2 linked regions of the Mus musculus genome follow. The protein of the gene in region 2 purifies or fractionates together with the protein of the main gene of each other region. This does not show direct contact. Links are inferred from orthologs where the notes say so. Each region holds a gene or a part of one and is shown on either strand. Other genes may lie near its edges. The genes, in order: Hnrnph1 and Hnrnpdl.

Region 1 (8,085 bases), on a different chromosome or scaffold from region 2:
ATGTGCAGCAACATTTGACCCCTCATCTTTATGGAACAGAACCCACATATGCCCCTCCCCCACTATTAGGCCTAACACACCAGTTATATAAAGTAATAACTATCAACAAGGACAGGAAGTGCAAGCGACATAGACCACCTCGTTTCTTCCAGAATACAGCAACAGGAACTGGGGAGATGGCTTAGCCAGGAGAGGCACTTGTTTCTCAAGCCCCCAAATCTGAGCTTAATCCTTCACTCTGAAGACTCTAAGCCTTGGTTATTAAATTTAATATCTGACGTATCTTCTGCTGCTTCATCGGCTTTCCTGCTAACGGTCTCTTTATAGCATTATGTAAGCAGCACCCAAAAGCCGGCCGTGATGGCTCAAGCTTGTAATCCCAGCATCCCGGAAACTGAAGGAGGACGCCGCCTCTGGACACCCGCCTAGCCTGGGCTATAACTTGGGATACAGAGACTCTGGCTCAAACAAAGAAGAAAGCACACGAAGACCAAAAGAGCAGTTAAGAAAAAGCACAAAGAGAAAAGCAGATCTTGGTGAGTTCAGGGCCATCCTGGTCTACATAGCAAGTTCTAGGCCAGACAGGGATATATAGTGAGATTCTGTCTAAAAAGAAAAAAAAGAAAGAGAGAGAGAGAGAGGGAGAGAGAGAGGGAGAGAGAGAGAGAGAGAGAGAGAGAGAGAGAGAGAGAGAGAAAGAAAGAAAGAAAGAAGGAAAGAAAGAAAGAAAAAAAGGGAAGAGGCACTAATTAGTCCAGACTGGCCTCAAAACTCCTGGGACCTGAATGCTCTGCTGTGATTAAAAATGTGTGCAACCCATGCCTGGCCCAGAAGCTGAACTTTTTCTGTGAGGAAGCTTTGTGTTGGACAATTTACATCAAAGGGAATGGCTATGATGTAGCATTTGCTCCCGTGATCAGATACAGATAGTTACATAGTCCCAGTATTAAGTTAGTAAGGATTAAAAGAAAGGGAAAGCCCATGTAGTGAAAGTCAGGCGTTTGCAGCCCTTGTACACAAAAGGATCTTCAAATCCTTCCATTGTTAGAAATTACACAAATACTCAGAGCCTTCTGCCAAACAATTGTCCACCAGAAAATCCTCATTGCGTGTGGTGGCACACACACTTTAATCCTGTCATTCTGGAGGCGGATGATCAAACACTTGAGACCATGCATGACTGCAAGGGGAGTTTGAGGCCGGCCTGGGATGTGTGCAATCAGGACTCAAAACAATAAGGAAAGGACACAATAAGGAAAGATAAAAGTTTTTATCTATGATTATACACTGCATTTTTCTCTTACGATGGAAAAATAACCTCCCATACAACTAGAATAGAATTTAGAGAAACATCGTAGGAATGTGGTTGTGTTGTCAGAAGGGAAACATTTCCCCCCCTTCAGGTGAGAGACCTGGATTGCTAAGTTGCAGTGACTCTCCCATCTCAGCATCTCAAGTAGATGGGACTACAGGCACATTACTGTGCAAAGTGAAAAAAGATGATTCAAACAAAAAACGGTGTGTGTGTGTGAAAATATAGTTGAGTGGTAGGACTGGTTTGCTCAAAGCCTTTCTAGTATGCATTGCTCTTCCCATACATCTAACCAACGATCGCAGGTCATCTAATAAGTATAGGGCTCTCAAATGGTGTGAATTAGCTAAAGAAGAGTAATCTTAGTTTCTTGGTAATCAATCTCATGTCCCAAGACCATGTAGGGGGAAATATACATGTTAAGCAAGCTCTCTACCACTACTATTTCTCTTGTCTTCTTTTTGAGACAGGCTTTCAGTAAATTTCCCAGGCTGCCTTGAACGCACTCTGTTGCTCAGGCAAGTCTTGAAGTTGCAGTTCTCCTCGGCTGGGCTTGTGTTCTTGCCTTTCACCCACCTCCTGGCCTGGAGACTTGGGAGTTCTCACTTTTCGATGATCTAAACTAGTGTTTTCTGTCTCCTCTAGATAGATCCTTTGCAGGTGAGGTCATGTGCAGTTATTCTCCCAGCCTGTCTCATCCGAGTTTCCCTTACACCTGAAGGTTCACGTTACACAGCTCCTGTTGCTCTCTTGAAGTCTTGTGATGCCCTTCTACTTAACACCCTTGCGCAGACTTAAAAGGTCTGAGTTCTGCACGCAGTCTCTGCACCTTTCCTTTGATGACACCCCCCCCTTTTAAAAAACAAACTGTTCAAACTGGATTTAGCCTCCTCAATGTTGCACTTGAAAGAAAAGCGTATTTTTGCCTGTAACCTCTTGTGATGGCTTTCAGAGGCTTACCAATTGTGGTACCTACCGTGGCACCGCCCAAACAATAACTCTTATTGTTAATTTCTAGGGTAGGTCAGTCAGATTCGGAGAAACTCGGGACATCATCCGTATTCTGCTATGTTGCAGGAATTCTCTTAAACGTCACCCATTTACCTCTGTAAGGGCACACGGGATGACCCGGGCGTGTCTCCACCTTGGGAGAGGCCCGTTGGTCGGTCGGGCGCAGCGCTCTGGGGCTGCGTCCTTCGCGCCCCTGGCAGTCTCAGCCTTCCCTCGCGAGGCGCCGCACACCGAGCGCCTCTCGTGCAAGGGCGAGGGGTTCGTAGAGTGCGAGTCCGTTAGGCAAAGTGGGGTACAGGACTAGCTCGGGCACTGGCAGCCCATGTGGGTCGGGACTGACCCCCTAAAGCGGGCAGGTAAGGGGACTGGTCCCAGGCGCCCCACGGAGATCGGGGATTTGGGCGCAGGGGGCGGGGCGGTACCCAGAGGAGGTTTGGCACAACCCGGCCCTCCAGCTCCTACGCGTTCTGAGGAGAAAGGGCATGGCTTCCTTTTCTTCGTGGTGTCTTTCAAAACCGACAGGAGCGCGGATGAAAAGCTGCGGATTAAGGGTAGAACTACCGCCCCTGCAAACCTGAACGAACTCTGGATTACTACCCAGTCCCTGCGGGGAGCTGATTAGCGCCATTCCCCTCCCCCACTCCGGCGGGTAGGTCTAGAGAACGGTTTGAAGGTAGCCGCATGCGCATTAAGTAAAACAAGAAACCGCTGAGACGCCAAGCGCAATAATTGCAAAAAGGCGCAGGCGCAGAAAGAAAAAAAAAAAACAACCAAAAACACCTCGGTCAGTTTATGAAGAGGGCTGAGCCCAAACGCATGCGTGTAATAATAGGACGGCGGGAGAGAGCTCGGGGTTTCTTAATACGCATGCGTCCAATCTCTCTGTGACGCAAGTGGGGCGGGGCCGGCAACAGGGTGCGCGTGCGCAGAGCTTGCTGGAAGGGCTTTATTTAGCCTGCGCAGGCGCCCGCTTATCATTTCTCCTCAGCCACGCCGAGGCTTTTTGTGGAGGTGAGTGACTTTCCGTCTTCGACTGCTGCCCGAGCTCTCCACGGACACCTCTTTGGGTGACGATTGCTTGTCGCTGAGCTTAGGTTCTAACCTGAGGGGCCGTGGCAGGCGCAGGCTGCCCCTGGGAGCCGCGAGTGTCTCGCCGGCGTGGCAGCGCCGCCTAGGCCTGCAGGCCGCGCCGCTTTCTATTGTGTGAGATGTCTGAGGAGGCGGAGCGGAAGCGGCGGCCGCCATTTCCTCGTCTCAACCGTGGCTGTGGGCCAGGGTCTTATTAGCTTGGCGCCTCGGCCCTGGGCGCACTGGGCGGCTTTGGGCATCGGGTCGCTAGCCGAGGCCGGGTTGCATGCTTGAGTCTCCGGGGCCCAGGCATCCTGACGGGCGGGACTCGCATGGCGGCGCCCGGTGCCCGCTGTGCGCCGTGAAGTGGGAGGGCCATTTAAATGCCTGTTTTCTCAGACGCGTTCCTGACCCCCACCCCCACCCCGCAGCCCCGCAATCTGTGTGGACGCCAGGACCACCGAAGGGACGATGATGCTGGGAGCAGAAGGCGGAGAGGGCTTCGTGGTGAAGGTCCGGGGCTTGCCCTGGTCCTGCTCCGCGGATGAAGTGCAGCGCTTTTTTTCTGGTGAGTTGAGGCGGGAGTTGTCAGTGGGGCCCGCGGCTGGGCCGGGCCGGGCCGGGTTGGGGCGGGGCGGGTCTCCCGGGCGCCCCCTAGCGAGTCGCGGCCACCAGCGGTTTCCCCAGGCGGCTCGCGCTCTGTTGGCCGCTGTTACGCAATGGTAATTGCGAAATCCGCACCCCCCCCAACCCCCTTGGGGATGCTGGTGGCCCTGCTGAATTTGTTTTCTTTTAAAACTTTTTCTGTCTCTATGCATCAATCTGTGCATTCTGGAGTAGTCTAAGAAAAATTTAAGTAGGGAAAGATGTGATTTCTTCTCAAGTCGTGTAAGGTTTTGTAAAAAGGTACTTGTAGTGTTGACCTTACCATCTGAATTTAGCTGTGGTAACAGAAAACGATCTGTAAATCGAGCCCCAAGTATACTGCAAGCAATTGCAGGGGGCCGTTGCCGTCCGGGTTTGAGTTGAACTGCAGCTTGGAGCCTTTAGTTGTTAACATTGGTCCCTTTTCGGATGAATATTGAGCTGGAGTTTGGATTTGAATGAAATTGTTATGTGGTTGCTGATAGAGGGAAGCTGACATGGTACCCAAACAAGAAAATGCTGTGAAGTCACCAGATCCAGATGAGATTATTCTGAGATAGTGTACCAAGAGATGGTTAATGGAAACTTAGAGGCAAGGTGGTAGCTTCATTTGAACTTTTTTTTTTTTTTTTTTCGAGACAGGGTTTCTCTGTGTAGCTCTGGCTGTCCTGGAACTCTGTAGACCAGGCTGGCCTCGAAATCAGAAATCCGCCTGCCTCTGCCTCCCCAGTGCTGGGATTAAACGCGTGCGTCACCACTGCCCTGCTCCATTTGAACTATTTTTGAGCATTGAGTTACCTTGTTGGACTAGGAATATATCCTGTATATGAGATAATTTGATCGTGTTCTGCTTGGTCAGTCTTTTTAGGCATGTTTTTTTTTTTTTGGTGTGTGTGATGACAGGAATATGCATTTTATCTGTAGTGGTTTTAAATCCTGTATTAAGCGTTGTTTTCTTTTCAGACTGCAAAATTCAAAATGGGGCTCAAGGTATTCGTTTCATCTACACCAGAGAAGGCAGACCAAGTGGCGAGGCTTTTGTTGAACTTGAATCAGAAGATGAAGTCAAATTGGCCTTGAAAAAAGACAGAGAAACTATGGGACACAGATATGTTGAAGGTTTGATTTACATTGCCCTAGTAACAGTAAACGTTTAAACACATAGAGGTCTTACCCCTTCTGAATTTTAGGTATTTGACCGCATGGAAATGGTCATCTAAGGGAGTTTATGGCAGCTCTTCCTAGTTATCTAAAAGCCCAGGAAATCTGAACTTTGTTCTCCAACTTAATTGACTAATTCTAAGCACCTCTTTCAGTATTCAAGTCAAACAACGTTGAAATGGATTGGGTGTTGAAGCATACTGGTCCAAATAGTCCTGACACAGCCAATGATGGCTTTGTACGGCTTAGAGGACTCCCTTTTGGATGTAGCAAGGAAGAAATTGTTCAGTTCTTCTCAGGTATGTAGTCCTGTTTGTTGCTGAGCAGTGAGGTATGGCAGCTTCTGGCGACATGAATTAGTATTAGTAGACCTTTAAAAAGTTGAATAGTCTAGGTACTTAAAGTAGGCTGTTGAATATATGTTGTTGAATTCACATTTTCTTCCTGGAGACCTTCAAATAACTTAAGCCCATCTTAAAGGTGGAAATTAGAAGTATTTCCAAAGTGTTAACTTTGCCTATATTTAGTATTGTAGTTCAGAGTAGACCTTTGAGGATTCTACTCAGCCATCTTAACTTCCTCATATTGCTGTTTAGCAAAGTACTTCAAGTTAAAGGTAAGCTCTTTTAACATTAGATTAGTGTGAGTCTAGATTGTTACAGTTTATGGTGTTATAACTTATTTTCCGTCATGGGACCAGAAATATTTTAGCTAGTGTAATTCTCTGTATGAAAATTGTTATGAAAGGAACTTGGCTTAGGTAGCCTATTAGAAGTCAAAAAAGTAAATTGTAGCAAGTGTAGGTTGAATGCTTGTAGTCTCAATATGAAAGCAGTATAGAAGTTTTTGAAGTTGTTCTGGGCCTAAAGTATTTGAATGTTTTTATGTTGAAGAGCTGATAGGATTTGCATGCTTAGCAGAATGTTAAATCTTGTATATTTTAAGTACTATTAATACTCTTGATGACATAGACAGAATTAATCAAATATCTTAATAGTTTTTAGCATAGTATGTATTAGAACTTTGACTAGAACTTTATATATGTATCAATTTGTAATATTTTATAGTTTGAAATCAAGTCTGTTTTGTTTTATCTAAATTGGTGAGAATTGAATGCTATCTGTCAACGTTAAATATGAACATAATTTCATATCTTCTAGGAAAGTGCTTTAAGGCCTTTTTGTAAGCTTGGGAATGTATCCACGGGAAGGATTTTTCATAGACGGAATTTCCAGAAGTGAATCATACTACTGTTAGAACATAAGAGTGCATGATTGCTTTGTAGATAGTTATTGTTGAAAGTTTAGTTTGTATGTTTGTCAATTATGATTTTTAAAATGTTTTCAATTTTTACATAAACTGTTTAAATGTGTAATTTTAAAATTGAAGTTCCAATAACTTAAAAAGAATTGAAATATATGAGGTTAAAAGGTTTCTTATTTTACTTAAATTGTTATTTTAATGCTTAAAAAATTTAAAGTTCTTGTATAATTCTATTAAGATGCATAGATTAAAATGTTTTTAATTGTTGAATTCTTAATGCACCCTCTGGAGTATAACACTTTTTTTTCTTTACTGTATATACTATGCCTTGGGTGTGTTAAGAATTGAGTTATACTCTTTATAGTGGAACTTCTTATTATTGCAATGCATATTTTAAGAGTACTTGTTGAAAGCATACCATTCACCTAAAGTTAAAATTCTGGTTTATTTAAAGCTATAAGAAGAATCATTTCTGGGCTTGTGATGTTAATATTGCCCCCCTACTGGGGTTATTTGTCCTTGGGTTGAAGGGTTGGAAATCGTGCCAAATGGGATAACATTGCCGGTGGACTTCCAGGGGAGGAGTACGGGGGAGGCCTTCGTGCAGTTTGCTTCACAGGAAATAGCTGAAAAGGCTCTAAAGAAACACAAGGAAAGAATAGGGCACAGGTGGGGATGGATGGTTGGTTGGATATGTCACTTTTCTTATGGTAAACAATTAAATCCATATTCTCTCTGCTTAGAAAGAGGAAATTACCCATTTCCTATTCCCAGTTAATTGATAATCTGCTATAACTTCTAAATTTTCCCAGTTAATGTATTTCATTCAAATTAAACTTTAGGCTTTAAAATTATCCCTAGTTTATTGGGCTGTCTTTACAATTTTGTAGGACTTTTAGTTTATTAACCCTAATCAATAGAGTTGAGAGACTATGGCTTTAAAAAATTACTACAAACCTGTCTTTAGCTGTAATAACACCCATATAGGAAATTAATATTACCATAAGAAAATGTGATACTTTCTGATCTTGTTTTTAAAGTTGAAATGCAACAAACTTTTTCTTGCTGTATAAATATTCTGCATATGTATTAATAAGCATAGCTTTCAAGAAATTGTCACAAAGGGTTTTATTCTCTTTGCTTGTGACTATTTTTCATTGAAGCATGCGCTTTTTTACCTATGCTGATTCCTACTAAAAGCATAGGCTGGGTACTGGCGAAAAGAAGTGTGTAGTGTGGGCTAGACTGTTGGTGGAGGCTGGCTTTTTAGCCCACTTGCTACACATACTGCCAAAGGAATTGAAATAATGAAAGTTGAGTGGAATTATTCCCTCCTAAACCATTTACTTAATACTCCTCTCTGCCTCTAAGGCTGGGCTCTGCCTCAGAGGAGTTTATTTTCTTTTTTTCTATAAAGTTTAAATAGTCTTTTGAGTGAATTTTCTGGTCATTGCCTATACAAATAAATGTAAGAAATCTGGCTTTAAATATTAGTCAGTTTCATGGCTATGACTAAATTGTTTTTCTTGTATAACAAAGTAATTGTATGACATGAACTAATGTTTTCTCTCCCCTCCCCATTCCCCTTCCTTTTGGACAATGCTTTAGGTATATTGAAATATTTA
Region 2 (8,128 bases):
CAACAATGGTACCTGGCCAGAAGAAAATGAGGCCAAGGCATGGTAACTTGACAGCCTAGCAAGTACAAATATCATTGGAACAAAGTTGTAGGCATTTAAAAAAGATATCAGTATAAAAAGCTTACACTGGTCTAAGACCAAGTACTCTAAACATGTACCCCAACCCAGAAGCTTTTGTGGAACCGTGGAGAGACCTCTAAGCCAAACATTTATGGAAAAGCTCAAAGCCTTTATTACTTAAATCTTTTAAGTTTTTAATGCACCAAAAGATACACCATGTGACTTTCCACAACTCCCTTCCTCTGCCTGCATAGCAAACTGCTTAAATCTATTTAGCTTGTGTACTATGGTGGGATGGATTCACTACTGCTAATTTTCCTAAAACCTCAGCCCACTGCACTGACCTTAGTGGATAATTGCAGATAGAATGGATGAAACCCTGGCCACCAGTTTCCCCCCTGCATTTACCTCTAACAGACAAACCATGGACTCTCTTTAAAGTCATCTGTGAATTACACATGGTTTGTTAGATAAGCACAGAGCAAAGGTAGCCAATTAAAAAGCTTTGTGGTAGCCAACAGGTCCGTTTCTAAGGTGATGAGATAGAAACAAGAGCATCACTTGTGCTCAGGCAAAGGACACTTGCCAGTGAGGTACAGCCCTAGCACACCAAGGTGCTTTCCTTAGAACCATAATCTGAAAGCACACCATGTGATAGGAAGTGTCACCAATCACAACAGACTAGTGTCAGTCTCCAGATACCCAGGGAGGAAACATTATTCAAAAGGTGTAGAAGTTATCAACAGAGAAATTAAGCATTAGACTGTAAGCACAGTAACACCCACAGAAACCAGGGGATACTACAACCAGTTTCTTCCTGTGGACCAATACCCCCTACAAAATAAGCTGCGTCTGTCTTGATTATTGCTTCTTTATAAAATTACATTTCCACAGAACTATGCAGTACCTGACGCAGGAAAACAATCACATAAGGAAGCATTTATTTGAGGTTTAACATGAAACCACACAAATAAAAATTTGTATGAACACAAATCCACATTGAGTCATCATAACACAGGTAGCAAAGGACAAAGTAAAACAGAGGAACTAATTGGCAGCTATATACAGTTGGACACAATTGTGTCATGTACACTACAAAGTCTTTTACAAAATAATCATCTTAGGTCAACAGAAGATCAAGCAATCTTCAATGTCGTCCTGTAAGATGGTTTCTTTACACCTCCTAAAACAAAAACGAAACACCCATTAGATGTGTGCAGCCCCACAAGTGTGCAAAGGTCCACTTTCATGGACTGCTTAAGTCCTCACTTCAATTAAAGATCACACGCATGTTCATCAGCAAAGTACAGTTTGGGCACTGAAACTCACTCGAGTTCCAAATGACACAGGATGGACTGAATTTAGAACACGGGAATGCAATCTTCCCTGATCTGCATCTAGCAAGTGAGGGCCAACCAGAACAGAAGCATCCCTAGTAAGCCAACTGGATGCTACCAACACAAATTCCAGGTAGGTTTATAATGGTAACACGGTAGCCAATTACTTTGTGCATATGATCTTTAACTTATATCCCAGATTTAAAAGTTCTTGTTTTGGTTTGTAGATTTCACTATTAGCTATAAAAAGAAAAAGCAAGCATTAAATCTTAAAGAATGAACACTTAAAATGAGGCTCCACAATTGAAATACAACACTAAACAGAAGACCAAAATGATTAAGCTGTAAAAAGGCATTTATGCACTTTAACTCCTGTAAAAAACCATTTAAGTTAAGTTTAGACACTTAATCTCCAAAAAGATTAAAAAAGAAGCCAAAGTCTGAAGTTTTCCACTTTAATCTTTACGCTGGTACATGAAGTTGGAAGAGACCATACCACAGGACAGCGTTTTCTGGTGTATGCCTTGCGCTCTGCCCGCAACGTGCGACCCCCAGAGATAGACGTGGTCAGGGTGACACACGGCCTGCAATGAAGTTCCCGCTGGCGGGTACAAACAAGGTATAATGTCAGAGTTAGAAGACAACATTCTTCTTTTCCTTAAGTTGTACCCATTTCAGTACTTTACCTGTTAACACTTCTAAAAAAGTTTAATTACTCCTCTACACCTCCTGGTACACAAAGCAAACAGAAAAACTCTTAAGTTTTTCTGTAGTTCTAAAAAAGGTGAGGTAAAACTTTAAAGTTAAAGATCTATAGACACTTTAGGCAAAACAGGCTCATAAAGCAATTAAACAGTAACACTTTAGCAAGGACTACACAACATATCATTTACTCGTGTTTTTCATTTGTCTATTGATCTTTAAGTTAAATTAGCCAGTGCAATGCTTTCCTGCATCTCACACACCTGCTCTCCCAGCGTCCTCCTTTAGTAGGGCTGGTAATTGTTCTGGTGATTGCCGCCCCCTCGGGACGCCTTGCCGTAAGTGCTCTGCTGACCTGTGGAAAGGATATGAGTTTCACTAACAAAGTTTCCTAAGAAAACCGTTTTTCTAAACAGAAAAAAAAATCTACCCTATAAGAAACTATGCATGCTGAACATCAAAACATCAAGCCATCTTAACAGTCAGTAATAGCCAATAGCTGTTAATTATATTTTAAAATAACCACCGTCTTACTTTCCTATGACTATACAACATGACTACTCCAAACATCTCAACAGTAAGCCCATACACACAAGTTCAGAATGGGAAAGTACTTCACAATTGAGTTAAGTGTTCTTACCGCTGTAGTCTGCATATCCCTGTCCATATCCATAGTTCCCATAGTTATACCCAGTATAATCATAGCCGCCATAGCCACTATAGTTCTGATCACCACCATAGGCACTATTATAATTTCCATATCCTTGATCATAATAGTTATTAAATCCTTGGTTCCAGTTTTGGCCCTGACCTGAAACAATGCACAACGAAGGTTAGGAAACAACTTGGGACTGTCCCAATCCTACCACAAGCTGATCCATTCCTGTCCCCTACACTGTGGCTTCAACCCCCCCCCCCCAAGTCAGCTCTTTAGTTTCACTCTAGCTGTGTTTCCCTACAGGTCAGGTCCCTAGCAGCTCACTGCTTCAGTGTACCGCTCACTCGCCCAAGGAGGTCTCACCTCTTCCACGCCCCCTAGCACCTCCTCTTCCGCCGGCTGCAGCCCCTCTGCCTCCTTTCTGTTGTTGCTGCTGCTGCCTGTACACCTCTTTGGGTTGCGCAACTTTGATTTCGCACTGTAAATAAACAGAAAATTTGCAGATGTTCCAAGTTCTGAACATAGAACAAGTTTCTCTTCACACTGACTTCACACACACAATCCTCTAAGTTGTTAAGGGATTTACCTTCCCAGAACCTATTTGATGGTATCTGCTTTCTAACAGTTTCTTTACTGGCTCTTCGTCTGTGTATGTGATAAAACAGAATCCTCTTCTTTCATTTGTTTTTGTATCCATGGGAAGCTCAATATTTTCTATCTGAAATCAGGTGCACAGACAAAACAAACAAACCCACCAGTTAATAAAGATTATATAATGCCACAGGCTCTTCACAAACACCAGACACATCTACTGACCACCATGTTCTAAAAAGTTGTGTTTTATCTTTTTATAGTACCTTACACCCCAGAGGCCACCAATTGGTGAAACACTTTACACCTTTGGGGCTTTGGCTAAGTAAGATTAGATACTGGTTTCCACTACAACATAGAAAGCAGCAGTGAAGACGAAGCAAGAGAATTCAGTCCCATCCGGTGAAATATTAATGAACCCCCCCAGACTTGACCAAACACGAGCACAGACACACATACATACACAAACACAGCCCACCTCTCCAAAGGCTCCAAAATATTCTTTAATTTGTTCTTCTGAAGTATCTGGGCTCAATCCACCCACAAAGACCTTTTTAGGGGGTTCTTTCCCCTTTAAAGCTTTGGCCCTTTTGGGGTCTATCAATTTGCCATCCAGTTTGTGTTCTTTCAGTTCCAAAACCTGGAAGACAAGGCAGTTTGGACTTAAAAGCCTAGAGCAACTTGCAAGCAACGCAGTAGACTCAATGCAAAACACAGCCCTACCTTATCCACACTAGCAGCATCTTTGAAAAGCACAAATCCAAATCCTCTTGATCTTCCCGTGACTGGGTCTGTTTTAATTGTGCAGTCTACCACTTCCCCAAATCGAGACAAATATTCAGTCAGATCTTTCTTGCTTGTATCCCAGCTCAAGCCTCCAATAAACATTTTACTAGAAATAAAGTTATTTAAGAAAAATAAGCTTAACAGTAACTTAGTGATTAAATACAGGGCAACTTACTCTCCAGACGCAATCTGTTTTGACTACAAACACTAACATTAGACCACAAAAATCTTAACCACTTGTTCAAGCCAGCTGGCACGTTGCTTTGTACCACGCGAACTCAAAACTTAGAAAAAAAAAAAAAGCCATTAGAATCTGGTAGATGTCCTGCCCTGCTTGCTTTGGATTGCAGAGCACAACTTTTACACCGATTCCCCCGCAACTTACGTAGACTCTTGCCCACAGCCTTAAAGCCAACTTTGCTACCTAGGAAACTTTTAGTGCCAGTCGTCTACTGGTGCCCCAACCAAAAGTTTCCCAAACCTAACCCAGGAAAATTCGCGAGCGGCCAACACACACAATGAAGAGGCGGCAGCGGCAGCAGCAGCTGCAGCAAGTGGCGCACAGAACCCGGCCCCTCCCCCCTCCCGGGCCCCACGCGGCGCCTGCGCACTCGGGACACCGACGGCGCCTCTCTCCTTCCCCAACCCCTCCTCCCTTCCCCCACCCGCGGCGGGCCTCTCGAGTCACCCCATCTTACTTTCCACTAGTGGGGAAGGCTACTGGGGTCCAGCGGGCACGCGGAGAATCGACTCGGGGAAAGACTGGGGGCAGCGCGCGCGGCTCCGGAGGGACGAAGGGCGCGCGCGGGGCTCTGGGGGAGGGGAGGAGCGGAGCGTGCGGTACCCGTCATCCTGCTGGTTCTTGCTCGCGTTGATCTTGGATCCCTCTGCGAACTCCTCTATGTTGCTGTACTCATTCATGTCCTCCATGGTGGCGGAGCCGTCGGCGAGGGGGTGCTGGCGCGCAGTCCGGGTCCCGGCGGCAGCGGCGGCGGAGCGTTGTATGGAGCTAGATTTAAAATGGCGGCGGAAGAGATCCGGCCGCCGCCTGCGCCCTCCCTTTATAGCCGCCCCGCCCGCCAATCGGGAGGGCTGCTGGGCGGTGACGTGGCGCGGGCTCCGGCGCGCCCCCTGGCGGGAGGCGCTGGAAGCGAGCGAAGGGAGGAGCGGGGCGAGCTGCCGGGGAGCCCGTGGCCGCCAATGGGAGAGGCCGCGGGAGGCTAAAGTAGCGGGAGCGGAGGGGAACAATGGCGGCGGCACATGGGAGAGCCGGGGCGGGACCTCCATCGCCGCGCTCCGGATGAGGAGCGAGGTCGCGCCGCGGGGAGAGTCAGCCGTGCGGGACCGGGAATCGCGAGCGGCGCCGTGGCAGGGCCACAGTCCCTCTTGCCTTGAGAGCCGTTGGCGTCGCGCGTCCAGTTCGGCTCAGTCCCTTGCTGCGCCCTCAGTCCCCTAGTGCAGAGCTGCTGCTGCTGCTGCAGCGGCGGCCACTCCGGCAAAAGGGCGGCGTGCACCCCGCGCCGCTTGCTGAAGCTGCAGCGCGCCCGTCCGCCCGCTCGCTCGCCCGCCCTCCCGGCGCACGCGTGTTTTGTCCTCGCGCCGGCTGCAACCAGCCGAGCAGAAAGCCTGTGCGCGATGACCGCCTCCGTCCTGGCGGGGACGGCTTTTCCGCCGTCGCCTCGGGGCGGTGTCGGCTCAGGGGCCGTGGCTGCAGGATCTCTCTCTGCAGCCCGGGTTCCGTGCGTTCGTTCTCCGAGGCTGGCTGAGGCCGCGGCGGAGGGCGGGGCCTGCTCGGATGACTGAAGCTGTGCCAAGGTGCACGCGGTGGGCGGGGAAGGGGTCAGGTGCCGGGGAAGACAAGGGGCACTCACGTCCCGGGCGCGCCACTCAAGGGACTCCCGTCTGCACGAGCCCCGGGCCTCCCGCGCAGGCTCCAGCAGGCTGCGGAGGGCTGGTGCCCGCGCTCGGGCTCCAGGCTCCAGGCTTGGGTGCTCGCTTCTTTGTTCCCGCCCACGCGAGGCCTATTTTGACCGACGGGTTCGCGGCTCGCCGGCGGCCAATAGGCACGCGCTCCTTGTTTCCTCCACCCCCCCCCTTTGAATCCCGGAGCCCCGCCCCTCCGGCTGCCCACGTGGTCCGGGCCTGCGCGGCTCGCCTGCTCGTCGGGTGTAGTACCCTAGGCGGCTTCCTCTGCAACTGCGGGTCCCAGCTCTGTCTCTGAGCCCCTGGTCGTTCGCTGTCGCCAGCGCCTCGGTTGTTGCTGGGCCCTCGGGAGCTCAAGACGCGCAGGCGGTGTTGCCCTCCTTAACCAAGGCCGAGCCCGTGGTAGCATCCGGCAGGGAAATGGTCGTGGTTTCCGTGCCCGCCGAAGTCACCGTAATCCTGTTAGATATCGAAGGTACCACAACCCCGATTGCTTTCGTGAAGGTGAGGGGCGGAAGGGAGCGGGGAAGTTACTTGTGCCTAAAAGCATCTGAAAGGGAAATTTTAAGTGTTGGAGATTTTGCCTGGGAGGCTCAGGAGAGGCGGTGTGGCTTTATGTCTCTGGAATGGGGAAGAGAAGCTGCGGCGGTTTGCGGGGGTGCTTTTCCTCGCGCCACCATCTTCTCCCCTGTCCTTGCTTTCGGTTAGGTGGAGAAGGATAGGAAGAAGTGGAGATGGTCTCAGCAACGGCTTGGGGAGGGGCAGGTCAGCTGGGAGGAGTTGGGGTGATTGGAGCTCCCACGGCCTGGCAGGTAGGTGTGTCGCCCGGTGGATGAGCGTCCCCCATGTGCTGAAGGTTGCGGCCCGCAGAGGTGGTGGCCTTGACTTAGTGGTCCTTGAGGTTTAGGCCTTCCCAATGCAAAGACTAAAGTGAAAGGATTTCTAGTGGCTCTGGTATCTTGGGCAATAGCAATTGATTTTCGCACCATCTCACTTGCGCTGGTTTTGAGACTATAAGAACACACCTAAAATTCCATTCATTTTTCTTAGAAAGCCATGGTATCTTGAAGCTTTTGAGTATCTGTCGGGTTAACACAGTTTCACAGGCTTAGGACTTGACTTTCTTCCATGTAGTCAATTTATGCACTGATATTTATGATAGAATAGTTGAGGGTAGTATGGAGGGGGGGGAGTTGGAAAACCCATCGTCCAGTAAACTGCAGCCTGCTTTAAGGTCTATTTTGATTGTTTACTTGTTACAATTGTCTGATTTTTCTAGATGTAGGTCATAATGTTTGTACACAACTTTAGGTCTCCAAATATAACAGCTATTTTATTTAAGACAGGCTCTTAAATAACCTCTATAATTCAGGCTGGCCTCGAACTCCCATGTGCCACAAATCCGGCAAATCAATCTATCTTTCTTTCTTTCTTTCTTTCTTTCTTTCTTTCTTTCTTTCTTTCTCTCTTTCTTCCTAAATAAGAATTATGGTGTTTTAGATACATAGCAAAGGTTCTGGAAAAGTCTAGTTGGCCATTTTGCCAAGATTTTAATTACAGTAGAGACCAGTGGAAAAATTCAAGACTGCCTAAATGCTGATAATTGTGTCCACTTTGTTGTTCTTGTTACATAATTAACTGCTTTGTGTGTGGTGATGGGGGGAGGTGATTGTAGGTCACCAGCTCTATTCTCTCTCTGTCTGCTGTCCGCAGGGCACGGGACCTAAATGACAGCCGCGGTCAGGATATGGCCTTAAATATGTACCATTTTTGGAAAGTTGATTTGTTAAATAAGATAAGCTCATATAAGTCAGCATGGAAACTGTAATGTCTCTTCCCTCAGATGCCTGTGAGCCACTTCTTTTTTTTGTTGTTTTGTTTTGTTTTTCGAGACAGGGTTTCTCTGTGTAGCCTTGGCTGTCCTGGAACTCACTCTGTAGACCAGACTCAGAAATCCGCCTGCTTCTGCCTCCTGAGTGCTGGGATTAAAGGCATGCGCCACCATGGGACCTTGTAATAAAAATGCTCTAGTGACTTAGATTGATACCAGATTATATACACATTCAAGGCT

Evidence for each region.
Region 1: the proteins of Hnrnpdl (region 2) and Hnrnph1 fractionate together in Homo sapiens (co-fractionation; 3 studies listed by BioGRID and IntAct, with this or other methods). This does not show direct contact. The link is inferred for Mus musculus from reciprocal best matches to the Homo sapiens genes HNRNPDL and HNRNPH1.

Annotation. Positions count from the first base shown.
Region 1 is NC_000077.6:50,374,469-50,382,553, forward strand, and holds the start of Hnrnph1 (heterogeneous nuclear ribonucleoprotein H), read left to right. Parts: upstream 1-3,209; 5' UTR 3,210-3,334; exon of another isoform or gene 3,335-3,390; intron 3,391-3,767; exon of another isoform or gene 3,768-3,822; 5' UTR 3,823-3,862; coding exon 3,863-3,959; intron 3,960-4,999; coding exon 5,000-5,155; intron 5,156-5,352; coding exon 5,353-5,496; intron 5,497-6,990; coding exon 6,991-7,129; intron 7,130-8,068; coding exon 8,069-8,085. UniProt on the Homo sapiens protein: This protein is a component of the heterogeneous nuclear ribonucleoprotein (hnRNP) complexes which provide the substrate for the processing events that pre-mRNAs undergo before becoming functional, translatable mRNAs in the cytoplasm.
Region 2 is NC_000071.6:100,033,742-100,041,869, forward strand, and holds the start of Hnrnpdl (heterogeneous nuclear ribonucleoprotein D-like), read right to left. Parts: upstream 5,482-8,128; 5' UTR 5,422-5,481; coding exon 4,979-5,421; intron 4,241-4,978; coding exon 4,072-4,240; intron 3,989-4,071; coding exon 3,827-3,988; intron 3,476-3,826; coding exon 3,344-3,475; intron 3,236-3,343; coding exon 3,121-3,235; intron 2,911-3,120; coding exon 2,740-2,910; intron 2,455-2,739; coding exon 2,384-2,454; 3' UTR 2,363-2,383; exon of another isoform or gene 1,244-2,362; 3' UTR 1-1,243. Other genes in the region: Enoph1 (enolase-phosphatase E1), read left to right, coding at 6,478-6,532. UniProt on the Homo sapiens protein: Acts as a transcriptional regulator. Promotes transcription repression. Promotes transcription activation in differentiated myotubes. Binds to double- and single-stranded DNA sequences. Binds to the transcription suppressor CATR sequence of the COX5B promoter.